Astyanax mexicanus: one gene and its partners. The protein of the gene in region 2 interacts with the protein of the main gene of each other region in a biochemical or structural test. Links are inferred from orthologs where the notes say so. Each region holds a gene or a part of one and is shown on either strand. Other genes may lie near its edges. The genes, in order: anapc2, ube2s, anapc11 and uba1.

Region 1 (7,159 bases), on a different chromosome or scaffold from region 2:
GGCAGCTACAGAATCAGTGCCAGCCTCGTCCACTTCACTGGCAAAGACTCTGCTCAGCCAGCCGAGCACCTGCTCCAACCACTAAAGCACAAACAGAGGACACTAATGTGCAAGAATTTATAACATTTTCAACAATAACATTTTCATGTTACTGTATTTAAAAAAGCTGTTATTTATGTCTCTGGTGTCATTTATTAGGACAGTATAATCTATTAATATAACACAGTTATTATTTAATAATAAAGAGTATAAAAAAACCCTCAAATTTCTGCAGATCTTTAAGTATAGGTTTTCATGGGATGAAACTGACAAAATGACACTGACACAATGAAGAGTAGTCTGTGTGTAGATTATATGACAGTGTATTTATTCTTCCCTCAAAATAACTCAATAACATTTCGTTTAGACATTAATGGCTGTACGTTGAGTTATTTTGAGGGAAGAATAAACTTACACTGTTATATAATCTATACACAGACAAAATGACACTGACACAATGAAGAGTAGTCTGTTTCATCCCATGAAAAGATATACTTAAATATCTGCAAAACTGTGAGGAATAACAAACATAGATTGTTCAGTCCTTAAAACAAAACAACAAATTGACCATTAAAATATATGCCAGAATCCTCATACTTCATTGAAGTCTGCCAGAAAGGAATTCTCATATTCTCCCCGGCACCGCTGCTCCATCCTCTCCTCGATCAGTCGGTGCAGAATGCTGGTCACTGCTTCCGAGCTAACCCTCCCCAAGAGCTGCAGTCTGGATCTGCCACACACCATTATAACAACAACACATAAAAAGTTACATCACAGCACCCAATGCTTGTACATCTGTATGGCAAATTCTTCTTTTCCAGCATGGAATATGTAATCATATTGATGTCTTCTCTTTTTACCATGGTGCTGTAGCAGAACTATATCCCACCCATGTAAATTACATTACACTATATTACAAAACAATGCAATCCCAATATTCCTGCACTCACAGGATGTGGCTAAGCTCCTGCAGCTGCTCCAGGGCCTCCTTGCACCAGCACAGCTGAGGTGGGGTTGCACAGCCTGGACAAACACAGGCCCCGTCAGCCTCCTCTGCTCCCTGCTCCACCTCCAGACCCTCTCCCACCTGGCTCATGTGCACAGAGAAGGTGCGACTGTAGAACTCCAGCACCCTCTTTTGGAGCACTGGCTGAGGAGAAAAGAGGAGGATAGCACGAATGACCGAGAAGGCCCTCTCTCGGAGCCCATGGGCTCCAGGGCCCACCAGACCCCCACGACCTTCATCCTGCCAAGACCCAAGCTGCTCAAGCCCACCTGGAAGTTTAGAAACAGATGAGAAAAAGGAAAGATGATGAACGGTGATGAATAATGAATAATAATAAGGTTTGTTCACCTGCAACTGAATCAGCACATTTCTGACAAAAATTGCAAGCATTCAAGCACTGCAATCTCCATTTGATTTAGAACAGTACCTACAAAAACAGAAGAAAACATAGCTTACCAAGAAATGGTTCAAGGCGCAGCAGCAGAGTCCTGAACGCATCTAGCAAACATCTTGCTCTGTCTTTCTCCTGTGAATCTCCTTTAGGCTGCTCTAAATTACTCCAGAACTCCGGAGCCACATCAGTGGTCAAACGAACCTGCAAGGTCTCCAGCAGCCAGCCCTCCACATACTGAGCCAGCCCTTGTTCACACAGCAGAGCCAGAGCATCAGAAATAGTGTCATCAGGAACTGAAGGCGGTACTGCAGGAGAAACCTACAGGATGCAGATGTGAGTTAATTTTTTTTTTTCTACTATTTTTTTAAACATTGTATATGTGTATACATTTAAGATATAACAATTAAGGGACACGTGAAATTACAAAGTAAACAAAAAAGTGTTTGTCCTCCACAATCTCCTGGTCTAAACCTGATTAACTAAGATGGCAATTTGGGATGATCTGGAGCTTTACAGTATGAAGGAAAAGCAGTAACTATTGTTCAGCCCCTCCAGAAACTCCTTCAAGACGTTGAGAAAACTATTCCAGGTGACTCTCCCTCATAAAGACCCTGAGATTAAAATACTGTACCAAGAGTGTGCAGATCTGTCATCAAAGCTAAATGTGGTACTTATAAAACATATACTGGTTTGTTTAACACTTTCAATTTAGAAAATATTTCAGAATATGTTCCTGTATAGCTTTAATATTGTCTTCAATATTACATTTATAATGTAAAAGAAAAAAAATCATAGAAAGAAAAGAAACACATCACGAAAAAATATTTTGTTAACGCAAAAGTGCCCTGAAATATCGTAATATTTTTGTCAAATAGAGCACAATTAGTTGGGATATATTATTCATTGGCTAATGTGTGTTTGTACCAAGCATCTACATTAACATATACGAATGTAAATATACATTTGCAAGCATAAAACGCTTACACCTCCAAAACTATTAGAATTGAAAGAGCAAAAACTTGACAAAACTTGACTGTTCTTGCATCACAACATATATATAACTGTAAACTGGAGATCAGTGCAGCCAGCTGACCCTGTCTTTGTGCTGTACTGCAGGATGTTTACACTATTAGCAGGCTAGCTAGCTAACCTAGACTGTATGTATCAGATTAAGAATAGCCCGAACTACATTCCTACATCATAATAATAAACGTTACTCAGCTCAGTGATAACCCTGAGGACTGTCAGTGCCTATATATCTGCACAGCAGCAGCTCACCAGAGCAGCGGTGACCGCGGCCCAGGCTGCAGGCAGACCCGGGGGAACCAGCACCGCCCCGCCGTCCTTCATTCCCCCAGCTCCGCGGGTCCGACCACCGCCTACAAACATACAGCCCGCCGTCCCCGCAGCATTTCTACCGAACAGCCCGCGCCCCGAGGTTCTGTACCGCCGTGTGCAGTGATTACAGCGGCTTAGCTTCAGCAACTCGAGCTATACGATCTCCATTAGCTCTGGTTCTCCTGCTGCTGCTGTTTATTTCCGCGCTCTTCTTCAAGCTGCTGTCCCTCAGTGATGACGTCCACGACCCGATGACGCTGAAAAGGCTGTATTTTTTTATCCACAGGAAATTACATGTCTAAATGTGCACACAAAATACATTTTATTGTTAAACACAGTGTCTTGTACATAGACCTACTTGCAAATGTAAGATATGTGACTAAAAACATTCATAAAAACTAATTGGAACACTGAAAAAATACCATTTGTTACCTGTATCCCCACTTATTATAACCTTACCATAAAATATACAGCTCTGGAAAATATTAAGCAGCTCCAACTTGTTGCAAATGTGGTAAAATGAAAAAAGCTTAGATTTTTCTTTTCACAGTTTTTTATTTTACATTTGACTGGGAAATACCTGTATGATAATGAAAGTGAAATGGCAAAAGGCCATTTTAAATTGCAAATGAAGGGTTTTAATTTTGTTTGTAATTTTTGCCATTATATTTTCACACGTTTTGAGAAACAAGTATGCAAAATGGATTTACATCCTATACAACAGTGCTGATCAATCCTTCGGTCTCTATTGAAAACAAAACTGGACAAAATAAAAACTTGATTAGGTAGCTATTGTATACAAGCTTTTACGATTTACAAATGCCAAAGCTATGAAGTAAAACCATGTTGAGTAAAAAAATCTTTATATATTTCTATTTAGCAACCTAGAAAAATGAGAATAGCTTCAGAAAGGAATATTAATCTATTATAAATACATATTTAAATAGATTTCCTGACTAGACAAACCCAGTTTCATGCAAAACTGTTAAAAAAAATAGTTAAAAAAGAAACACTAGCTTAGCCGCGCCCACATCACTGGAAAAAACAAGAGCGTTGTACTTAAATTCAAGGGATAAGATTGTGGAATCATTTGGAGAGTGACGTTAAATATGCTAGAACAATGTATGTGTTAAAAAGAATGATAAAAGTTGGTTTGTTTAAAAAAAATTAAATAGTATAATGTGTATCTATACGAACTGTTGTTTGGGAAGGATTTGATGTTTTTGTTTAGTTTTGTTTTTTTGGTAAATTACTAATGTTTGAAAATATTCTTGGAACAAATGAGGCAGATATTCTAACATTTTTTTTCTTCTTTCTGCTGCATTTGATTTTATTTGTGATTTGTATTTGTATATAGAATTAATTTTGTTTATAATGAAATTAATCAATCTTCTAAAAAAGAATAAAAGCTAATTGATGCAAATGTTATGTACTTTTTATTTTGTATTATTTTTACTGTGTAGAAATGGTTTGTGAAATTAAAGGTCAATATCAAATTTAAAACACAGGCTTCCAGTACAATGGACATAAAAAAAACTATTAGATATTTTAGTTAATTGGATTTAACTGGACGTCATATTAGAGTATTAGATTATTATTTTTTGTGCATTTTTTATTTTATATTTTATATTTATATTTGTATATTTTCATTGTAATATAACGCTGAAAGGTCTGAAGGGGTTAAAGCTGTATTTTATTCCTCTCCAGTCCAGCAGGGGCGGAGTCGCGCTGAACTGCAGTGTCTCCACCCGCCATAAGGCGCGTTATTTCAGGAGGAGAAGAAGAAGAGCTGCAGGCTGAGGTTGTTGTAGAAACAGAAGGAGGCTGGAGTCAGAGGGAGTGAATGGATTCAGCTCAAACTTTCTATTAAGAGTGAAGTTACAGCTGTGCGATAAACTTGTATATACGAGGAGTGTGAGGATTTTAGAGATATCTAACCTATCTTATTTAATCTAACTTTACTTTACTGCTGAGCTGAAACTCAGTACAGTCAGCATGACCCAACAAGGAGCCGCTCTACAGACCTACAACAACGAGCTGGTGAAGTGTGAGTAACTCTACATTAACTCTGTTATATTAATAAAGTCTATTATAGTAATGTAAAACTGTTAAATTAAAGTTCTGACTGTGTTTTACTGGTTGTTTCAGTGACTGTCGGGGTTAATGTTAATGTTGAGCTATGTGAGCTGACAGTTGGTGGACTGAGATTAGCTGAGTTAGATTAAGTAAACTAGGTTAGGTAGTTTTAAGGTAGCTGCTGTCAGACCCAGCCTTACTTTGCAGGCCTTCCATTAAAATTCATGTTATTTAGCTATATATCTTACTATATACAGTACCTTCCAGTCTAACGTTTGTTAAAACATTCCTATATTTATATATTATTTATTTGTATTATTTACTACATTGTAGCATGAGTTATCTTTTACTGAAAAAATACAACATGCTATAATGTTAACAAAATGTGAGGTTTTCATTTATAAACAATTTAAAAAGGCGAAAATTCAGAGACCACTTCAGTTTCTGAATTGGTTTCTCTGATTTTGTTATTTATAGGTTTATGTTTGTGTAAAATGAACATTGTTGTTTTATTCTATAAACTACAGACAACATTTCTCCCATACAAAAATGTCATTTAGAGAATTTATTTGCAGAAAATGAGAAATGGCTGAAATAACAAAAGGATTTAGAGCTTTCAGACCTTAAATAATGCAAAGAAAACAAGTCCATATTCATAAAGTTTAAGATACATTTTTGATGGAATAACCCTATTTTTAATCAGTTTTATGCACCTTGGCATGTTCTCTTCCACCAGTCTTGCACACTGCTTTTGGATAACTTTATGCCAGTCCTGGTTCAAAAATTCAAGCAGTACAGCTTGGTTTGATGGTTTGGGTTGGCCTATATGGTTATATTGATATAATATACACTGCATGAAATAAAATTGCCACCTGGATTTAAGTAAGTAAATGATGTGGGGTTGATGCTGCAGTAGGTCAGGTCTAGGTTAAGCAACAGTATGTGCTGAAAGAATGAGGGCAACTGAGTCCAGACCTTAACCTCATTGAGAATCTTTGGGATGTGCTGAAGAAGGCTTTGTGCAGTGGTCAGACTCTACCATCATCAATGCAAGGTCTTGGTGAAAAATTAATGCAACACTGGATTGAAATAAACATTGTGACATTACAGAAGCTTATTGAAACAATGCCACAGTGAATGTGTGCTGCAATCAAAGAAAAAAAAATTGGTGGTGGTGTTGCCTTTTTTATTTCTTTTTTTGGGCCAGGTAATGTTTACACATGCTTGTTTGGCACACCCCTATACTTAGTACGAGGATTTGCTGTACTATATCAAATAAACTTACACTGTCTGTAACTACTCAGTGTTCATAAAACACTAAAGAACAAAAATCTTATGCATTTATACTACAAACTGAATCATTTATTGCGTATACTGAGTAACAGGTCTTGGAACTAAAATTAAAAAAGGTAGGGTTCAAGAGGTCAGGACAAAGCCAACACACCCACATCCCTCCGTCATTATCACTTTTACATGATTCAGCAAGATGTCTGCTGTGATCTATAAGTAAACAAACTCCCACTGAAGTTCCATTACCTGGACTTTGCAGTAATTAACTGCGTAGATCATGTTGATGCTTTACTTGTCATAGTGTTTGTGGATACTCCTTCCAAAGAATGCATTCAGCTATTTCCAGTTGCACCCAGTGCTGACACAGACGTGCAAGTGCACACAAATATAGCTTGTCTAGTGCCTGTGGAGAAGTATTGCCTATAGAATAGGACAGATAAACATGAACATGTTGGCACCATGCATAAGGGGATGGGATGGATTAGGATGGGGAGTTGTGTGGTCACTGTTCTTGTCACTAAAGGCAATTAAATTCTCACAGCAATGCTCCAAAAGTCTTTCCTGGACAGTAGAGATAATTGTTTCAAAAATTACTTCAAAAAAGCAGAATAAACAAAGAAACAACGACTGAGCAAGATGTCTTCATCGTTTTGGATGTATAGTGGATGTACATTAGGAGTGGGCAATATGGCACTAAAATTATATCATGATATTTTATGATATTTTCGCAATAATGATACTTTTGGCAATATGACAAAACGCTGAATAAAAAAAACAAATATTTCAAGAACACACTACTGCAAAAAAAAAAAAGAAAATATTGTTTTATTATTGAAATTTTATTATTTATTATACAAGAATTTTATCAGATTTGTAACAGAAGTCAATGATCCAGAATGTCATGATATTAATAATGCACTCCAAATATCTCCATATATCCAGGATTAGAGTAAAAGAAATAAATGATACTGGACAGATATAATTTGTCTTTAGTAGATATATAATGGGAAATGAAA
Region 2 (6,926 bases):
GTATCTCATTTAGGACCACGTATGGATGTGACTCAAATCTGATAAAAAAATAAATAAATATGGATTTGGCACGTTCAGACAGCCATTTAAAAAGAAAAAAAGATCTAAGCCACATTGAGCAAAAAAAAATCTAATTTGAGTTACCTAAGCTTGGTACACATCGAGTGTCTGTTAGCAGCATTAGTATAGCAACAACAGATTTTTTTTTTTTTTAAAGACCCTCTTGTCCCTAGTTTCTTTTTGGGTATGTGTGAGGGCTTTTTTAAAGGAAATTATGTTAATGTTATTAGGGTATGTGAATGAGGTCTGCTCTGATTGGTTGCATTAAATTTGACCAGTTTAGTTGAGCAGTTTAGAGTAGAATAACCCATTTAGTGCTATACGGTTACAACTAGATATCTATTGTATTATTGGGACTTAATTAAAGTCTATCTAGTAGGCTACCTGCTGATTTATTTGTATGCTGGCCCAAGGTAAGCTGGCAGACACTGGCTACCCTGCTTTGAAATTGAATGAATATTAAAAATATATTAAAACACATACATTTTAAAAAATGGCGTTCTAACACTAAGGTTTATGTTGTGACGAATTCTAGCTCTGTCAGAATCAGACTTCCCCTTACATAAGGATGCCTGCCACAGCAGAACGGATGAAAAAGATTATCAGCAAACTCCTTTATTTTTGTTTATAAATAAGGATAAATCTATTGTTACATTAATTAAATAAATTCAGTCCAAGCATTTGCGCCTATACTGCTGCTTGATGCGCCTGAGCGCAAAGGGAATGAGGTTTCGGCATGACACCAGCTCTTTTTCCTCTGGTTGGTTTAAAGACTGACTCAATTTCCTGTAAAAGATCCAAAAAAGTTGATCTATCTAGATAAGTGTTTCACACAGATGCAGATGAACCAGTAGATGCAGAATGAGAGCACCTCTTTAAGTCTGACCAAACTCTGGTCCTTTGGACTGGACCGTGGTTCACAACCCCTTTTACACCTGCAGTCTGGACCAAACAAGACAGGTGTGAAACACACACAAAAAGGCAGAAGACAGCCCATTTGATGCTGCATGATAACAATTGAATTCCAAATATATATTGTATTAAGGGACTCAATAATAAATCAGGCTGCCTAGAATTAAAAGGGTGGGTCTTTATATCTTTTGGTGGTATACAGAACACTAGTAAGTAGGAATGAACAATGATATCAATAAATTGTTTGTGGACAATATATTGTCCCATAAATTATAGCAATAAACAAGTTGTCATTTTAACACAATGGCACTGACAATGATAATCTATTAGCATAACAAATACATTATACTCATTTTAAGACAACATTTTAATTAATCATAGTTTGGTAAAATTAATCCTTTATTTTTCATCTCCTGCAGTTTGCACTGTGTGTATAAAGTCAGTTATTAAAGCATTGGTCATTGCATGACTGGCTAAAAAATGTTAACTGTCAATTATCATACAAACAAACAATAATCAAGAGTATCATATATTGTTAAGGTTGTGTTCACTTATTGTTGGATAACTCAATAAAGTAATTATAGTGACAAACATAACTTCAGTTGATAGACACGCTGCTATTTTAAAATACATTAAGTTCAGCCAATCTCTGTTATTAATTCTAAAAGTTACGAATTTATACCAGTATGTGAATTCTTGCTACAAGTTCAACGTGTATATCGGCAGATATGTACGTGTAATATTGAATCAGTATCAGCTCAGAAATTCCATATTGGTGGATCCCTACTTTTCAGACTTAAGTTTTATATTATGTTTTCACACTAATTATTAATACTGGATGGAATTGTATCTCTAAACACAAAATTATCGCCTTAGTCTAACAAATAAAAATATTAATTGTATTACCCTAAACATATGTTATATTGTTATGAAATTTAAATACAAAAAATGGATATAGCTAGTGGTCTTGAATAGCTAGCTAGGCTACAAAATTAGATTACTTTTGGAATTTAATCGAAAAAACAGCTAGGTTAAAATCAGTCAATTGTATCGTCAAGCCTTGAAGGTTAGCCTAGCCACGGCTGCTAGGTTAGCTTCTTATAGGTACTGACCATTCCACCTTAAATGAGGTGCCAGAAACCAGCCAGCTAAACTAATATAGTTCAGCTAGCTAAACTGCTAAGGAATTTAAGGGGAATATAAAAAAATATTAAAAACTTATTTAGCCACGACTGCTAGGTTAGCTTCTTATTAGTACTGACGCTTCCTTAAATGAGGTGACAGGGTTCAGCTAGACACACTAGTTAATTGCTAAGACATTTAAGGTGGAACGAACAATTTAAAAGAAATCAGAAGCGCTTTTACTAGCCAACACCAACCTAGTTAACTTAGGTTGGTGTTGGCTCCACGCCGAATGTGTTAGACAAATATTTTTGATGTATTTTATCAGAAAAGGAGTATTTAAGGTGGAATAACTTACCATTTTGTCTTTAGAGATGGAACTGTAGTTAACAACGTTAGGAAACTGAGCCTTGCTATAAACTGAGCGAGCAGGCTAACGATGTAGCTAAGCTAACCTAGCTAGCTTACTAGCTTATCTCAACACTCTGACACCTACTAGAGCAAACACCTAGCTAAGGAGCTAGCTATAACTTCAAGAAAGAAACGAACGACAATTTAAAATCGAATTAAACCGAATATGAGACTGTTTTCGGTTTCAGCGCCACTAAACTCTGCGTTAGCTCAGCCGGAGCCTGGAGTCAGATCAGTCTGCTCTATTGGAAGCGATTAGCCAGAGCGCTAATGCTAACTCCGCTAGTTTCTCGTCTCTGCTGGAGTTACCGGTCCCCAAACCCGGTTAAAATAAACTAAATAAACTGAAATAAAAGAAACGCAGGAGACTGCAGCGGTGTCGTTGCCTTACTCGCATCAGAAACCGGTTCTGACTTCTTCTTGGCGAGCTAACAGTTCTCTGCTTTTGACACAGGAACAAAAATACGAACAGAGAGAGCACGGCCGCTCCGCCAATCAGCTCCGGCAATAAAACCTGCCTGCAAAAGCCACCGCAGCCGTTCAACCAATCACAGCACACGCAAGGAGTGACGTCGCCGCTCTCAGCGACCACGCAGTCCAGCTGGACCGTAGAATGTGAAAAATGCTCCTCTGCGATTGGCCAGTTTGAATAACTCAGACCCGCCCACACACAGCAGGGGCGAGGCTAAGCATGCAAATATAACTTTCTTTCAATACATAAAAAAACTCTTTAAACGTATAAAGTTTATGTGATGTTTTATATCTTTTATAGAAAAATTAGGGTTCTTTTTTGAGGTTGTTTTTGTGACAGTCTCTGTAAAATACTGATTTATTAATGCTGCTTAATGATTCATAGTAATTAATTAAATAAATGCAATGAGTTTTCTCTACCTACCTACACACCTGCATACTTACATACATATATACTTACACACATATATATATATATATATTTATTGAGTGTGGGCACACACCACTGCCCCGCATCTGTGAGCGTTCCCAGTGTGACAGGACTGAATGTGATGGGGTTAAATGTGACAGGGTTAAGGAGCTGAGTGTGACAGAGTTGAGTATAAAATAGTTGAATGTGACCAGATTGAATATTATAGAATGGAATGTGACAGGTTTGAGTGTGATGGGGTTGAATGTGACTGGGTTGAGTGTGACTGGGTTGAATGTGACAGAGTTGAGTGATGGATGTTTTTGATTTTTCGTGTTCTGGATAAAATGTTTAGAAAAATTCTGAATTATTTGGTAGAAACAGGGACTGGTACGGTGGCCCTCTTTTGTCTATTTTTTATATTGTCTAATCTGGTCTTGAACATCACAATTTGTTTTTTGTCAAAGTATCTCAGATTCCTATGCTTGTTTAATTTTTTCATCCTTTAGCAGATCTGTGTTTAGTGAGGGCTGTGGCCAGTCTATTCAGTCCTCTAGATGGCGCTCCAATATACACAGTGCTTCAGCCTGCTCTCAGAATGCTCTGTTTACCTTAAGATTAGAGGATAAAGGTTGTGTGTTCTGTGAACTACAGTCCCACCACTTACACTGTGTATCTATTCTGAGGAGAGTAAAAAGCCAGTCTGAGATTCTATCTGATTGGGAAACTGAAGGTGTTTGTGATTAATAATATAATATTGGGAAACATGTAAGTCAGCCTGTCAGGGAGAATTATTGACCAGCATCAAAAGTCATTAGATGTTCTTTACAATAGAGTATTATCATCAGTAAGGACACAGAATACCCATCTTTTCTAATTCCATCAATATGGAACAATACCAAATTCTTCAGTACTGTAGACATACATTTAAAAGCTTTAAAACTCCACTTATATGACTTTTAAGAAATGTGTTCTGGCTGTAGAACACATCAGCATCAGAGCAACAATCAATCAGTTACAGTGAGAAATGCTAGCAAATCTGTTATCTAAAAACCTTTGTCGTAGAAGAAAAATGGAAATACATGGGTAGGCTTTCTTTATTTTTAGCAGAAATACTCAGGAATATCCTGAGCTAGTATATATTAAATTTGAGTTTTGTAGTATTATAAATGTAGTAAAATGCAGTATTTTTTGTTAACTTTGTCTAGAACTTAGAAATATGTCATATTCCAGTATAAACTTATTTATTTACTTATACATTATATTTTTTTATTTTGTTTAGTTGTCTAATCTTTACATTACTGTAGCCCATATAAATGTAAACAAATAAAACGAGGAAATAAAAGAACTTTTACCATTTTTATCATTTTTTCTATAGCAATATTTAATAATAACTTTAATCATAGACAGACAGTATTAATTTTGGTTATTCAAGACTTTTTTATATTCTTCATATATACTATATACTATATAGATTTTATGTATATTTTCAAATTTCAGATTCAGATTTTTCTACGTGAATAATATTATTTCCCAGCAATATTCTTTTTTCAGCAATAATAATTTATGTTGCTTTAAGAAAATATCGTCACAGTTCAGGGCGTCAACAACAACAATAGCGCTTCTTCCGGTGTTCTGTCGATTTTATGTTCAGGTACCAAAACCTGCCCCAAATAGAAGCAGGTAGGATCTTTCTATAGGCCAAAAGCATCATATATATATATATATATATATATATATATATATATATATATATATATATATATATATATATATATATATCAATTAAACAGAAGTATAGAATATCGATAGCAGAAGATATTTAGCAAAAATAGAGACATGTTAAAATCTGATAAGATTTTTTTTACTACTAATTTTTTTTGTGTTACTGTTATAAATTGCGAGTTACTCTTTTGTAACACTCAAGCATATAATAACAATAATAATCCGCTAAAAGTGTAAAATTCACACAAGAAAAACAGAATTATCATGAAAATCACATGAAAAGGTTCGAAACGTCTGAATCTGCGCATGCGCATAACGGCAAAGTAGCACATACAGGTGGGTAGCACTATTTGACAGGACACTTACACTCGCTCGGCTCTCAGCTAAATGCTAACACTCAGTAGCATCACCTCACTGAGGGCTGTCGGTTTAGATGTAAATGAAGCGTTTTTATAAGATTATATTTTATTTATGAACTCCTGAGATATCGGCTAAACGTCGTTTTAACTCGTAAGGATTCACAGTTAAAGGTAAGGACAGTTAACGGCTAACTATCTTAGCTAAAGTTAACTAACTAGGGGCGTGTGTGTTTCACTGAGTGCTGCTGTTGATTGGGTGATATTTATTTTTGTGTTATTAAATAATAATAAACGCTAAATATTAGTAGAGAGAGTGTGTTAAAAATGAGTGTGTCTGAGTGTGAATAAGTCCTTGATTGTTTTTTCGAGAAAACGACGTAAACGTTGGCTTTTTTCCACTATAATCATGTTTGAATTAGTCAGTTCCACCTTAAATTATATTATAAGCAATGCTGCGTTTAAGGCGGAACGGAAACTTCGAATGATAAACTAAACCCATTTTAGTGTTTCTAACTTACTTTAATTGTAAACTATGACTGTAACTAATATATGTTTTTGGTAGCTAGTCGATTAATCTGCCGATTATTTAGGTTGTTGACCCAAATCCCTCCCCATCATTTAATTTAATGGAGGCTTGTCTTGTGACATTATATTTAAAGGACCATTAGCGATTTATGTATTCAGTAATATCTCATAACATGACCAGAATGTGTCCTCAGATATTGATGAAACATACTGAGTTTTGGCAATGGCAGCCAATGACAGCTTCAACCAGTATGTTCTTATTTGATTTATACAGTATTTTATGGTATTCTGTGTGGGTTTTAGTCTCTGAATTCCCCCATACCTATTTCCACACTCCGGGTTGCCAGGTATACAACACAACAGCACCCAAACAGTGTACTGCATGAAAATGATTTAGATGACTATGTTTCTGCTGAACAGGTAATCACTGAGCTTCAGTAAGGTTAACTATCCATAGCTGGGAAATTTACCACCTCCATTATCTTAGAAGTAGAGGCGGACATTTGGAACCCAAACTAGTCAGCTAAGATCCGCCGCTGTTCTTATTAGGAGAAAAAAGGCCCTTTAAATTATAAGCACTAAGAATCTTAACTGGCAGAACTAAAATTTAAATACATGTATTTTGTAATATAAATATATATTAATCGAGGTCTGCGTTTTCCTCTCTTATAATAATAGTAATAATAATAATAATAATAATGATAGTAATTAGAGCTGGGTATCGTTTTTAAAATTGTCGATACCAGTAGCTATTCCCAGACAATACTTTTTTCGATACGTTTTTTTTTCTAAATTGTAACCAAAGAAAACAATCATTATTATTACATAGCATTTTTGTGGCACTTTATCAATTATTGTTCTTACGCATATTGCTGTGTGCATTTCACTTTTAAGAAGTTTTAGAAGAGGAAAAATTTCAGCATTACATTGAC
Region 3 (6,923 bases), on a different chromosome or scaffold from region 2:
GTGGGAAACACTCCATTCATCCCAGATCAATACATTGCTTAGAAACCAGAAACACAGTTTGCCTTAGTTTTACCAATGCACAAATATACAATAGAAAACTAAATTTGTTAATATTTGGCACAATTGTACCATTTACCAATACCATAATTTCCTACCTTTTATACAGACATTTCTCCTTTATATGGAAGCCCATTTCCGCCACTATGCAACAGTCCTCCACTAAGTTATAATTACAAGAAATACTAAGTCATTATTACAAAAAGCTGAGTCATAATGATGAGATACTAAGTCATTATTTTTGAGATGAAATACTAGGTCATTATTACGAGCTGTTAATGAATTATTATGAGATGCTAAGCCATTATTATTATTATTATAAGGAGATACTAAGTCATAATTCTGAGATGGCAAGTCATTATTATTGAGATGAAATACTAAGTCATTATTATGAGATGATATGTCATAATTATTAAGATAAGATGCCAAGTCATTAATACAAGATACTAAGCCATAATTGTTGAGAGGAGATACTAAGTCATTAATACGAGATACTAAGTCATAATTACAATATATTTCGTCATAATGATGAGATGTTAAGTAATAATTTAGATACAAAGCATTTTTATTGAAATAGTAAGGCATAATTATAAGATACCAAGTCATTATTATGAAATAATAACCGCAGACTAAGTATATCATAATTATTATGCCTTACCATCTTATAATTATGACTTGGTGGAGGACCCTTATTTTTTCCCTCGAATGGCGGAAATGGATTTCAATACCTTGAAGTGTCTACATTTAGAGTTGTGTAAAAAGATTACTTACAGTCTGGACAGCAGCCATTAAACGGGGCTCTACAGATGCCACAGTTCTCGTCATTGGCCACCCACAGCCAGGATGCCACGCCGTTCCACTGCTTTATCTTCACCTTCATTTCTCACTTCTGAAATTGTGGGGATATGTCCAGTCAATACAAAAAGCTAGCTGAAGAGGTGAAAGCTGTGTGAAAGTAACTTAGCTACCTGCATGGACGCCGTTTAGATAACTAAGCTAGCTAGTTATATAATACATATTATATAGAGTTATGTTACACGGGTTGCAGAACGCAGTGTTAAGAGTTTGTTATGCACTAAAATAAACTCATAACATTTCCTGAGTGTATTGTGGCACCATCTGAAAAACCTCCCATTGTCCAGCAAATCGATATATGGTAGGTTCAGTAGGCGTTTTATCACCACTGGAGCCTGAAACCTGGTGAACAAACCTTAACTTGCTAACCAAAATGGTTTAACCTACACAACAACTTACATTTCAGGAATATTGCAATCAAACGTGAGTGACAAAACATACAAATCAGAAACCTGTCGATGTCTAAATGCAGCAGCTGGGGTCAGGTTATAACTACACACATACTGTAGCTAGCTTGCTAACTAACGAAGCAGCACCATTTAAAGTGGGACCAAACATTCTAAAAATGCTGTGGTGAGAACATAAAACTACGGTTAATATTTTAAGAAAAGTAACAGTAAGAAAAGAAAATACCCAGCCATACAGATAAAGCTCCGCTTCCCTCCCGCTTTCCATTTTATTTACAGCGCCGCCATGAAGCTCCTGTTCAACACTAACAGCTCCATCTCGCCCCCTACTGCCCGGGAGCTCTTTCGGAGTTATGGCTAATATTATGGCGGTTGGCAGACCAACTACAGGTGCACTGCAGCCAATGAGCTGAATGACTTTTGAAAAGTGAATTGCAGAATTTTTTTATTATGAATTAGTTAATTATCCAATTAAATGATAGATCCCAATACACTTAAAACACTGCTTAAGCACTAAGCCAATCACAGGGGCTGGCTGCACCAGCTGTAAGTTAAACATAGGCTAGCTGTAAAAAAAGGCTAAACTAAATCAAATCGTGTTGTCCTACACCAACTAGTATATACGTAGGAACGTATAAATACTAAGTATTTACACAAATCTGAGCAGGCATATGTTTGTAACTACACCAGTGTAGCACATATGTAGACTTTGGATTTGATATAACACCGGCAGATGAAGGCTCTCCAAACCATCACTGACCATCAGTAAATTTTGCATCTCATTTGGAAATCTAGGATCCAGGGTCTGGAGGAAGAATGGAGAGGAACATAGTCCAAATTGCTTGAGGTCTAGTGTGAAGTTTCCACAATCATTGATGGTTTGGAGAGCCATGACATCTGCTGGAGTTGGTCCACTGTTTTATATCAAGTCCAAAGTCAGTGCAGTATTTTCCTTATGTTTCTCTCTACTGATAACTTTTATAGAGATGCGGGTTTTATATTTCAGCAGGATTTGGCACACTGTCCACACTGCAAAAAGCACCTATTGTTTGAGACACTGATTATTGGGTTTCATTGGCTTTTAGGCATAATCATCAACAATAAAAGAAATAAACACTTAAAATAGATCACTGCGTATAATTCATCTAACGTTATATGATATACGAGTTTCGCATTTTGAACAGAATTACTGAAATAAAGTAACTTTTCAATGATATTCTAATCTTTTGAGATGCACTATATAAGTATGAAATAATACCGCTTATAATATATTACCCATAACATTATAGCTACATTATCCACTAACACATGCTGTTAAACCGCGTTTCCATGGCAACACGTTGATTACCAACATGTTATATATTTGTTTTCGTCATGTAAAAGCGTCAATCAGTAACTCTGCGCATGAGTTAGTTGTTACTAGTTAGGACATGCCACACAGATTAGTGGTGCACCCAGATTCAGTAAAATGATAGTTTGAAACTAATAACTAGTAACGTTAGAGACTTTGCACACAAACATAAGAAGAAACTTACGCAAAATTGGTGCAGCCCAGCCCATATCTGTACGACAGTGAAATATAACAAGCAGTGGGTGTCACTTCATAACTCCACAGAATAAACTGGATGTATGAACTGTTTTAAACAGACTCTTAATTTTAAGCACGACACTGCAGCTCGAGTTTGGCGACACCGGAAGTGTGCGGTCTCCTAGCAACGGGTCAAACAGTGCAGGCGGTGGAAGAAGGCAGACCCAGCTTAATCTATCCAAGCTAAGATATTTATTAAAACGATTTTAACTGGAAATGTCCATGATTATTCATATTAATCATTTGAAGGCAGTCTGGTTCAGTTTATCTTAGTGTTTACTGGCCACAAGAGTTTCAGTTTAGGTAAGAAAAAGAACCACTTGGTTCTCTTCTCTTCTCTTCTCTTCTCTTCTCTTCTCTTCTCTTCTCTTCTCTTCTCTTCTCTTCTCTTCTCTTCTCTTCTCTCTTTAGTTTTATCTGTCCTGTTTATTTTATAACTACTTAACTTGTCCATTTTCTTATTTGATTTGCAGTTTGTTATATTGGTGGGAGGTTACTCGAATTTATTCGATTAACTACACTGTTGTTTTTAATGGCATTTTCAAAATGGGATAAGCGAGACTGTACATCTTTGCACAGAGACACTTTCCTAAAATTCTCCCTAACTCATTTTTTAAGATTTTCAGGAAACAAAATAACATGTGACAGTTGTTATGGCTATTAAAAATTAGTAATGGTTATGAAGATAGTTTATCATACATTCAAGCAGTAGAACCAACCAGAAACAATCCTAATTTAAAATTATTTATTAAAAAGACAGAAAACGGAGCCTTTTTATTTAGCTTTATAAATTAATTTTTTTTGCTGACTAAAATGCAGACTAACAACCTCATTAAAACTCAGTGATAAATAAGGCTTGCAATATTTTCAGCCTATAGTCTTTATTAATAAGAAGTAAACTTTAGACTATTGTACTAAGTATGTGTGTATGTAAGATAACTTACCAGCTATGAATTGTATAAATTAGTTCAGTGAAGGCAGCCACAATCTTGGAAAGCTATTAAAATAGCCTCACATTTTATTCTGCTAGGCGTGATAAATTAGCCACAAGATATATAAATGATAATAAATAAATAATTTAATTGAATACCATTTGCAGTGCACACACCTTCGTAATTGAATAAAGGCATTTTTAATAAAGTCAATAGGGTTGGACCACTGTCGAATAGTGGCTGCCCTTACATCACGATGCAGCCTGGCAGTGATTCATTCAGGTATATGTCTTTTAAGATTTTAAGTTTTTTTTGTTGGCTGCTTTACTAGCAGCCATTAACACCCTTTTTCCTGGATGTTTGTATTAATAGCAGAATCATCTACAAGCAGAAATAAAGCTGGAGAAAATGGAAGGTTCTGGTCCAACAGGGAAGATAACATATAACTTACAAAACATCACAATTGTTTGACTGGAGGTCTACATGTTTAAATGTACCACTAAAACCAATTGCTAATTTGTAAAATAAATTGTAAAATTTTATGTGTCCTTTTTCACACATCTCTAGTTTGTTTCACACATCTCTAGTTTGTTATAATGATCATTTTCATTTACCTGTTCTGGACAGTTTTTTTTTTTGTAACTCCACACAGGCCATTTTTTCTTATCTGTTCTTAGGATGGAGAATGGTGGGGAAGATGGAGGAAAGCAGGAGAGGGAGACGGAGGGTCTTCCAGTGGAAGCAGAGGGGGCTGCAGAGGTCAGAAATTGCTTATGGTCACAGCAAGGTTTTCATTCCTATCCTCCCGAATAGGCAGACATTTATTTTATACTAGCAATAAGGATTTAAACATTTAACAATACACTACTATTACATGACTTGTGTTTTTGTTTTAAATTGTTTTGAACTGAAGACTTCTGTGTGCACACTTATACGCAAGAAATTTTAATTTTGATGCTGTGTAGTATTTCTATTTTTGAGTTTGCTGGCATGTCTACAGCCGTGGAAGAGCTACTATTTCAAGTACTTATTTCTATGGATGGGTTGTGAAAACCCAAATCTGAATATGGAGTGTGTAAGATGTTATCTTGGGAGTAAGATTACCTATACAGAGTGTACCAAGAATACTTTATAGAAGTCATTATTACCCACAATGGACATCGCAGAGGATGGTAATAATCATGACCATAAGAGCCTTACTAGAATTGTCTACAGTAAGATTATAGGAGCAGTAGCCTGCACATGGTGGTTTGGTTGTTTAAATGCTCTGATGTGTTGTTGCTTTCTGTGCAGGGTTCAGGCCCAGTTTCACAAACTCACACTGAAGCCAGCGGTTCAGAGACATCTCCCCTCACACACACTCACTCAGGTCTGTATAAGTCTGCCTACGTCAAGAACAGCACAGGCAAACATCAGGAGGAAAATGTATTTTCCACTGTATGGATGCATGGAACACTTTTTGATTAGAAACTTTAACCTATAAAAGCCAATTCACATAAATTCAGTGAGTAACATATGACTAATTATATTTTTTAATATATCTCTTAAAATACGTTTATAACTTGTATTTTAACAGTGTGCTCTAGCAATTGTATCAGAACTAGTTAAATGGAGAGTAAAACATTTATTTAGGGCATTGGAATTGTTAAACTGGTTGGAACAGACCAGTAAAAGCAAAAAGTACAGCTTTAAAGGAGCCACATTTATCTAAAGGACTAACTGAGAGGACTCAAACACACTAAACACACATTCATACACTGTCCTGTGATGCTCTCAGGCTGTTCAGTGTATGTGACTTTATGAAGGACAGAGTTCTGTAACAAATTTTCCATCTCTTTTAAAGGGTCTGTGACATACATCATCATCATGGGCTCTTTTGGGTTAAGATAAAAAAAAGAAACTGAAATTTCTGTAATTGACCAAAGCATACTCCTCAAAATTTAGTAAAAGCTCTTTCAAAAGCAATAGTTTGTTTAGAAGTCACAGTAACACCAATTTAGCAAAAATATAGTTTATCTGCTGAGATTTTACACTGGTGTGAACGAGTGTTATATAACTAACATAGCCTAGAAGCCTATGTTCACTAATCAGCATGTTGATTTGAGGCTTGTTCCTTTACAGTAACGTGAAGGGTGTTTGTGTATGTGTGTGTGTGTGTGTGTGTGTGTGTGTGTGTGTGTGTGTGTGTGATGTGCTTTCCAGCGCAGGACAGCAGTACCCTGCCTGATCCTCCACCGTCATCTCTGCACCTCACATTGGCCAATTCCACAGTAATGAAGCCAAATATTTTTTTCTTTCAGGCTTATATCCTGTTATGATGCATTTATCTAACAATCGAAAAAAAAAAAACAGTTTATAATGCTAGAGATTGTTAACAGAATCCATGTTATCATTTTTTAAATGAAGAGATCAAATTAAATGTTTTTTATTTCAGTTATTGTTTTTTTTCTGGGGCGACTTCAGCTTTAACTCATTGTGATATTTAATTTATCTTAAGATTTGATGAACAGTCTGCAGTACATTCTGAGTGTACTTTTCACCTTGTATGCAAATGGAATCAATAATGATGACTCTACCAATCCAGACGGCTCTCATAAGTGGCGAGAGAGACGAGAGAAGCATGATGATGCAGAGTGAGGATGAAGAAGAAGAAGATGACGATAAAGATCTTATCGTATTGGACCCTGAGCATGTGGGTAACTTTAATTCTTTGTTTTTCACTACTATTTGTAGTTAAGGCACCAACATACAGGTTAAAACCATGTTATATATTGTGCTTAAATCAGACAGTATTGTGTCTGATATGTGCTGACAAATAACTTATTTAACTTATTTATTTTTTGTTCACATATTTACACTTAGAACATCAGCACCCAACACCTAACAGCTAGGTTGCTCTGACCATTTTTGATTCGATCAGCAATATCTCGAACAATATCTCGATCTCAATAACTCAAACTATCACAAATGGACTAATTATACACGACACCACAAGCTCTTTACAGGGGTTCACAGTTAGGCACCTCCCTTCATTAGTATTTGGCTGAATTAAGCTCACAAGACCTCCAGAAGGCTCAACTTCCC
Region 4 (7,646 bases), on a different chromosome or scaffold from region 2:
TAAATAACAGTGAACAGTATTTAAACGAGTCATGCAATGACTAATAACTGTGACTTCATACACAGTGTGCACTGCAGTGAACAAGTGAAGAAAAGTATACATTTCCTAGTCTATGACTGATTAAAAATGTGTTGTCTTTAAAATGGTATAGCTGCTTTGTTATAGTGTTATGTTATTTTTATGCCAGTGTCTTAAAATGACAATGATATTGTTTATCGGAATCATTTCTGGGACGATATATTGTCAACAAAAATAATTTTATCAAGACAGGCCTAGTTACATATAGAACAATATAGAACCACAGAACACTCTCCACTAACATTCCTATTGAAGAATGACAGGGGTTGTAAAGACAAGAAACCTACAAGAGACACAAAGACACTAATAGGAGACAGAGCCAAGATTATTAACTACATGAAATCAGTCTATTATCTCAGAATTCTCTCAAGTAATTCCATTTGTAAGCAAATTATTTGATGTCCCAAAGAGTCCTTTCAGAATTATGTACCGACAATCACTTAGCCAACAGTCTGAAGTAGTTTCCAGCAAGCCTAAACCCAGCACTCACAGCTACCTGAACCCAGCTTGTGCTATATAAAAGAATGGCATTATAGGAAACTGAATTGGCCTAATATGACCCATGCTGATGTAAGCTTTTCCATTGTTGTAAACGTCTACCTTACTACTTAAACAATTTTGTTCCCCTTGAATAACACTGACCAAGCTTATTTTAATCTAACTCAAATGTAATGAATAGATTTCAATAATACATAAAATGATGCAGAATCCAGGAGCTCTGGACAATGAATATTTGCCAAATACTACACTATATGGACAAAATGTTGGTAATTCATTGCTTATTTAATTATATTAAAAAGGTATTTATACTGCTTTTTTGGAGAAAATGTCTCTACTGACCAGGAGTGGCTTTCTTCTAGATTTTGAAAACACTGTTCTCTGGATCTGATTGCATTTACAGATAGTAATATCAAAACCCCATTTCATCTCAAAAGTACTGATTGAGCACCATCATTCCAAAGAATACAGATCCACTGCTCCACAGCTCACTTCTGGGGGGGCCTTTTTACCCCACTAAACCAATTCTGGCCTTAAGAATGGAGATGATGGGTTCATGTTTATCTGTTTCACAGAGACTTGCAAGAATGCAAGAATGCAAGAATGCATGATGACAGGATGCAAGGATGCAACAAAGCATTGTTGGGTTCGCACTTCATGAAACAAATACAAAAAAATACATATAAAACGAATAAACGTTGGAAGGAGGGGTTGATACCTTGTGACAAAGGCCCAAGAGGGCCGTTTATTCTTGTTTGTGTGGGGAATTGAGGCCAAGACAGGGGCTTCAATTCTGGCTGTAAGCGGCTTTCTCCCCCCCCGAGTAAACGATATGTGCAACTCTTTCACACATCACACTCCACTGCTCTGCACAGGTACCCCGTTCATCTGCGCTTCAATGGGCGAATATTGATCCGCTCAGCGTAGATTATTAGTTGTTAAAGTGCCAGCGCGGCCACTTTTAAGGACGACAAAATAAACAGCGGTGAGCTAGCTAGCAAACCTAGCAGGCTTTAGAGCTAGCAGGCTTTAGAACTAGGTTACTATATGTAATTCGGCGAGTTATTTAGCTATCTGGCTAACTAGCTATGGAAGCTAGACTGCTATCTTCAAAATATATCTGACCACCAGCACTGGTTAGCTACCAGTGGCGCCAATGATAGTAATAATGTGCAGCATGGCTGATTGCTTATCTATATCAATACAGTCAACCGTGCAACTGCTGCTGACTCCCATTCTGACTCCTAAGTTTATGCAATTTCTTTAACCTACATGCTTATGATTAGTATCACCCTGTACTACTGTAGATCCCACAGACCACAAAAGAGCACTGATAGCTAGCTTTAGCTAACCAGCTAGCTATGTTAATAATCATTGTGGACTGGTAGAGAAATTGTAGCCAAGAGAGCTAACCTAGGTTGGCCAATAACTGCCAAACGATGCTAGAGCGCAACAAGGGGAAGGCAAGGAAAGCAAAGCATGTCTTTCCATGTCTTTGTAGTTTCTTGTTAGGTTAGCTAGCCTAGCTAGCTTGCAAATAGCTATTTGTAGATTCAGTATTGAAGCATTCCTCACAAAAAAGCATGTCTTGCTGAGCCAGTCTTTCAATTTCAAAAATGTATTTATTTGTTTACAACAGCTATTTAGCTAGCCAGCTAGCTAAGCTAACTAGTTAACTATGTAGGTTAGATAACTAGCTAATCACCACAAGGGATAAGACAAAAAGGACTGACAACTTTGACTGTTTAAACCACTTATGGTTAGCTAAATTATAATATAAATGCATCTAAATTCTAATTTATTTACGTTACAAATATAACGTTATATCACAAGTCATCTCATATCAAGCTAGAATTTTCCACCATCATGTGGTTACGTTTAAAACCATGCAAATAAGGTTAGCTAGCTAACTAACTTAACTGTTACTACAATTTTAATTTTGCTAGCTAGCTTATACAGACAAGTCTTTGAGGCACATTCTTAGCCTAACTAGCTAGCTACTAGTTAAGTTAGTTAGCTACCGATGTGGTTAGCTAGTTAACCTAGTTAAATTTCTAGCTAATCTAGCTAGCTTAGCTAACCTAGCTAGCTTGCTAAGCAAGATGCCCAAATCTATTATTGTGTACGCGTTTGCTATTTAGCTTGCTAGCTAACCTAGCTGGTTAGCATTAGCCAGGCACATAAGTATGCAGAACTCACCACATCCGATATTACCGGGGCCTTTCCACCGTACTGAACACAGAAACGCTTCTCAGGCAACAAAAAAACGGTAAAACCCACTAGTCTAACCGTTAATATCACACTGTATCGAAGTGGCTCGAGCTCCTCGACTTTCCAAGCTGAGAAGAAGCTGGACTGACTCCTGACCACTGACCACCAACCGCACCGTTACCGCTACCGTTACCAGCTCTGAGCGCGAGAAGTGCTCACTTCTATTCTTCAGTTGTTCACGAGCGGCGGAGCAGCAACATGTGCAGAGTTTGAGTCAGGAACTGCAGACTGCACGAGGTGAACACACGCTGCACGAGCCCACATCTCACCCCTTAATTCACAACACTCTGACCTTATTTACTCAAACAGCTTCAGTCAATCAACATTAACACAGCACTGCACATGATTCATCTTTAATACAGCACGGGAAAGGTCTCAAATATTTCTGCACGCACTGGAAACTACTGGAAACACCCCCGCGTGTCCTGAAATAAGCTCGCCCGTAGTTTGCATTTGGCGCTGAGCATGGCGGGAAACGCAGTACTGATACGAATGATGCACTATTTCACTATTTCTGAGTTTAGTCTGTTGTCTAGAGGTAATGGTGTTAAAAGCGTTAACGGTCAGTGTAACCTATAGCAGTTTAGTTTTCTGACTGTATCAAGCTAAATTCGAAAATAGAAAATTGATTATATAACTTTTTTCCTATTCTGTAAAGTCAAGAAAAAAATGGATTTTCATACATTTTTTTTCTTCTAGTTTTTCATTTCAGCCTTTCGCTAACAGAATTTTTTTAAAAATATAAGAGTATCTCGATTTTCTGATTTGTCTATTTTTGTACCTTGTAACACAAATCTGATGGTATAATCTAACTTGCAAGATGCAAAAATGAAAAAAAAAAACAGATTTTTTCTTTTCTGAAATTCCGATTGTGAGGGGCAGAGACGAAAAAAAATTGGAAAAATGGATACATTTTTTGTACACTGCACTACTTTAAAAAAAAAAAACAAATAATGAGTTTTTACATTCAATTTTCTATTTTTGCATTTAGCCTTAAACACTCAGAAAACAAAACATTACACTGACCTTTAACATTCATTAGTAAACATTTTTTGACTATTTGAGCTTAAATGCAAAACTAGAATATTGTATGTAAAAACCCATTATTTGTACATCTAGTGTAGTGCAGAAAAAAATTGTTTTCCATTTTTTATTTTTTTATTTTTTCACATCTCTCTTCTCATCTCAGGGAAAATGGAAAAAAGTAACTTTATGTAACAAAACTAGTTTGGGTTATACCATCATATTTGTGAGAAGCTTATTCTGACTATGAAATGCGGATCTTTTGTTACACTAACTTTTTATGTTTTTAAATTCAGCATTAATGATAAAAAAAAACTGCTAAACATTACATTTACAGTTAGTGCTCTTAATGTTGAGTTCTCAGGCTTATCTCACAAGCTTGTATAAAAAGGCCCTGCGTGTTCTTTGCTTTTGTGTTTTTCAAACAAACTAAAAAGAGATTTAAAAAAAAAAAACATTGTTTAAAAAAGTAGGCAATGGAAATAAAGTGAGCTTTGGAAATTAATTTAAAAAATGTCAATTTACAAAGCTTTGTCTGTAGCAGTTTTAGAACATATTGTGTTACTGCACCACAGCATTTACACATAATTATTTTGTATATAAATTTTACAAATAATGCACTACATGTAACTAAAACATGTGTAACATAGAATATATGTAATGTATAAATAGTTTTATTAGATTTGTTTTGTGTGAAATTAGACAACTTCCAGTGATACTATTGTACATGCACACATTAGCAATGATCATGCTGAAACTAAACATATTGTGCAGCCCCAGTGCACAATTTATCATAATGCACAGATTGTTGGTGTGTGTGTGTGTGTGTTCTTTATTGTGACTCTTATATAAGTAGTGACCCAGTTATACACCCATAAACTGAGAGGCCAGTTTGGCAACTCCTAGTTTTAGACATTACATGTGCAGCACAAATTCTATAATTGAATTAAATAGTCTTTATTAAGACAGTATTAAACAATTCTAAATAGTGTTTTAGAAAGCTAAACCATGCATGTTATCAGTATTGCCAAACTTGACCAAAAACAGTAAAAATCAGCCTTAAGGCCTATTTGTGTTTACGAATACACATTATTATACTAAGCATACTATACTGATACTGCATAATTATTAGTAGCCAAATACTCCAAGAAATCAAGTCTCAAGTCAAGTAACAAGGAACAGCACACAAAACAATGACCATATCATAAAGTCTACCTTTTTATTGAATTCTTGGCAGAAAGAGTGCAAAAGTAGCTTGGAAGAGTATTTATTCACACCACCAAGACAAAAGAGTCGTAAAGAGGACGTTAGAGGTACAGAACACACAAGCGAGGCTGAAACACTTAGAAATTCTGTTTTGGGTAGAGTATAATACATATCTATACATTTCATACAATTAAAATATTATAATAACTGATATTTATAATAAGAAAATAAAGCTGGAGAAATAGAACATTGATCAAACGTGAAGGATGTACCAAGACCACAGGAAACAAAGATAAAGGTTTGTGTTGGTTAGCCTCCTGAAATTAGCCTGATTCTACTGATTAGGACGCACAGAATATAGCTTTTAAAAACAGTATTTCGTGATACATAACAGAGAGAGAAGAAAGTAGAAAGACATGCATAAATTATGTGCTGTACAATATTAAGAATAAACCGGGTATTTCATTGGATATTGCAAATAGGCCATGAATTCTTGAGAATGGACTTAGAAAAGAGCCTTTTTTTCATACAGTTGTGTGTGGTGCCCTCGTGTGGTTCATTTTATTAGGAGTTTCTTAAAGCAGTGTTTCTCAACCCTGTTTCTCAGTTGTTTTCCTGCTCCAGCGAATAAGCTTATTGACCCTTTCAGGCACACAGAGAATTTATTTTAAAATGTTAAGAGTCACTGATATGGACAAAATACAAGTTTTTGAATATGTAAAGTTTTTCTCTTTAAATATAATTAAACCAATTTAAATGCAATTTAAACAAAATTACAAAGAGACAGAAATGAGAAAACTAATAGGAGGTTTAATACAGTGATTATAATGTGGCGTCTCCAAATGTTAACCCCCTATCATTTGTTATTTTGCAGGGCTGTGGCCTTTGAGGACCACGGTTGAGAAATACTGTTTTACAGAACGAATGGCAGCTGTGATCACTGTTGCTCTGCAGCTACCCCAAAGTAACTTCAAAAATAAAACCTCAAATTGGATAAAGTACATTAAAAAATATAAATACATGAAGAAGAATATATAATCATGTTTTACACATTTCGTTTAGGTTAAAGGTTATGTCAGACTGTACAAGACCATAAGGGTGTTGCATTAATCAGCTTTGTTGTGACTGTAAGATTATGAAATGATCAGCCATGAGATGATCAGTCTTCGCTACCAGAATAGAAGTATTTACAGAAGTATTTACAGCAGTTTCAGAGTCGTTTGTTATGTGGTGTCGTAGGTCTGAACATGCACACAAAGAGACGTTAGACTGTAATTTTGTGTTAGTAACAGTCCCCAAAGCCTCAAACGTGTAATTGTCCCTTTTCTGCTCGGAGCAACCTTCCCTACAAACCCAGCTGCACATGACTCAATAAAATGCTAACAGAGCTAATCTATTATTTGAACATGAGCCTGCCCCCTCCCACAATAAATAAATAGATAAATAAATAAATAAATAAAACTTTTTACAGCCTCAAAATAATAGCTGCTACTTTGAGATCCATGACTTACATTTAAAGGAATGCTCCAGTGTTTTTAATCTAACGTCTATCTGCCATACTGTTGATTATCATGAACAATCATTTTAACATGTTTGCTTGTATTCAGAAACAAAAACACTTAAAATAATTAGACTCAATACACTCACTAAAGAAGCCAATAAAAAGGTATTTAAATATCTGGTTGTTGGTTTCTATGATACACTACTGTTCAAAAATTGGAATCACAATAATTTGTGCCAGTACAACTGTACACAAATTCTTCCTTATTCATAATGCATCTCATCCATATTAACCACTTTAAAGTAGCCGTATTCTAATTGTGTTTTTTTTTTAAATAATGTCTTTAAACCCGTGTTCACACAGCTTTTTTTTGTTTGTTTTTTCAAAATATAATAAAATAAATGCAATATAAAATATAAAAACTATTAAAACGTATGGACAAATAGCTGTTTATTAAACATGTTTGTAGTGCTCAATAATGTACAAGATATGTACATTTTTAATGCACTTTCGCAGATCTCCACCTGCTCCACAATATAGGTGACTCTCGTCTAATTGCGCCATAACCAGCTGATTGGCATTCTTTTTATTGGAAAGATTTTGTAAAAAAGCTCCATGTTGAGCGGTAATATTTTAACCAGTGTTCGGTCTCCTCGTTTATCTTTTCTTTGACAGTACTTTTAAAATGTTAAAATACTCACATATTCCTCCGGCCTTTAAAATGATTTTTGATCAAATTATGTAACCTGGCATAAAATTAAGGGTACAGTTAGATGCAACAGTGGAGTGAATTGTATTTAAAAGATACATTATTTTCTGTATTTTAATATCTGTATTTCACAAATGTTTCATTTCTGCATGTACAGATTTGAGAAAAATCCTGGATATTGGTATTGGGCCGCAATTTTTGCTTCCATACATTCAAAAAAAGGTTAGATTTATGATTCCAATGGTTTGAACAGTGGTGCAAGTGTGTTTTAACTCAACATGTTTCTGTCTGGATATACTCTCTGGATATAAATTGCAATTTTTGATAATAAACAGTAGGTCACTTATAAAAACTACTGGA

The links.
Region 1: the proteins of ube2s (region 2) and anapc2 form a complex in vitro, tested with the Homo sapiens proteins (3 studies listed by BioGRID and IntAct). The link is inferred for Astyanax mexicanus from reciprocal best matches to the Homo sapiens genes UBE2S and ANAPC2.
Region 3: the proteins of ube2s (region 2) and anapc11 form a complex in vitro, tested with the Homo sapiens proteins (31 studies listed by BioGRID). The link is inferred for Astyanax mexicanus from reciprocal best matches to the Homo sapiens genes UBE2S and ANAPC11.
Region 4: of the proteins of ube2s (region 2) and uba1, one has a biochemical effect on the other in vitro, tested with the Homo sapiens proteins (8 studies listed by BioGRID, with this or other methods). The link is inferred for Astyanax mexicanus from reciprocal best matches to the Homo sapiens genes UBE2S and UBA1.

Annotation. Positions count from the first base shown.
Region 1 is NC_064408.1:19,792,330-19,799,488, forward strand, and holds the start of anapc2 (anaphase-promoting complex subunit 2), read right to left. Parts: upstream 3,015-7,159; 5' UTR 2,829-3,014; coding exon 2,718-2,828; intron 1,758-2,717; coding exon 1,502-1,757; intron 1,315-1,501; coding exon 990-1,314; intron 770-989; coding exon 637-769; intron 82-636; coding exon 1-81. Other genes in the region: ssna1 (Sjoegren syndrome nuclear autoantigen 1), read left to right, coding at 4,773-4,824. UniProt on the Homo sapiens protein: Together with the RING-H2 protein ANAPC11, constitutes the catalytic component of the anaphase promoting complex/cyclosome (APC/C), a cell cycle-regulated E3 ubiquitin ligase that controls progression through mitosis and the G1 phase of the cell cycle.
Region 2 is NC_064413.1:7,913,970-7,920,895, forward strand, and holds the start of ube2s (ubiquitin-conjugating enzyme E2 S), read right to left. Parts: upstream 3,012-6,926; 5' UTR 2,456-3,011; coding exon 2,453-2,455; intron 1-2,452. UniProt on the Homo sapiens protein: Accepts ubiquitin from the E1 complex and catalyzes its covalent attachment to other proteins. Catalyzes 'Lys-11'-linked polyubiquitination.
Region 3 is NC_064412.1:28,030,815-28,037,737, reverse strand, and holds the start of anapc11 (anaphase-promoting complex subunit 11), read right to left. Parts: upstream 3,005-6,923; 5' UTR 2,855-3,004; intron 1,665-2,854; exon of another isoform or gene 1,546-1,664; intron 947-1,545; 5' UTR 938-946; coding exon 829-937; intron 1-828. Other genes in the region: ccdc40 (coiled-coil domain-containing protein 40), read left to right, coding at 4,518-4,598, 5,133-5,208, 6,042-6,109, 6,424-6,531. UniProt on the Homo sapiens protein: Together with the cullin protein ANAPC2, constitutes the catalytic component of the anaphase promoting complex/cyclosome (APC/C), a cell cycle-regulated E3 ubiquitin ligase that controls progression through mitosis and the G1 phase of the cell cycle.
Region 4 is NC_064420.1:35,307,173-35,314,818, reverse strand, and holds the start of uba1 (ubiquitin-like modifier-activating enzyme 1), read right to left. Parts: upstream 3,018-7,646; 5' UTR 2,776-3,017; intron 1-2,775. UniProt on the Homo sapiens protein: Catalyzes the first step in ubiquitin conjugation to mark cellular proteins for degradation through the ubiquitin-proteasome system.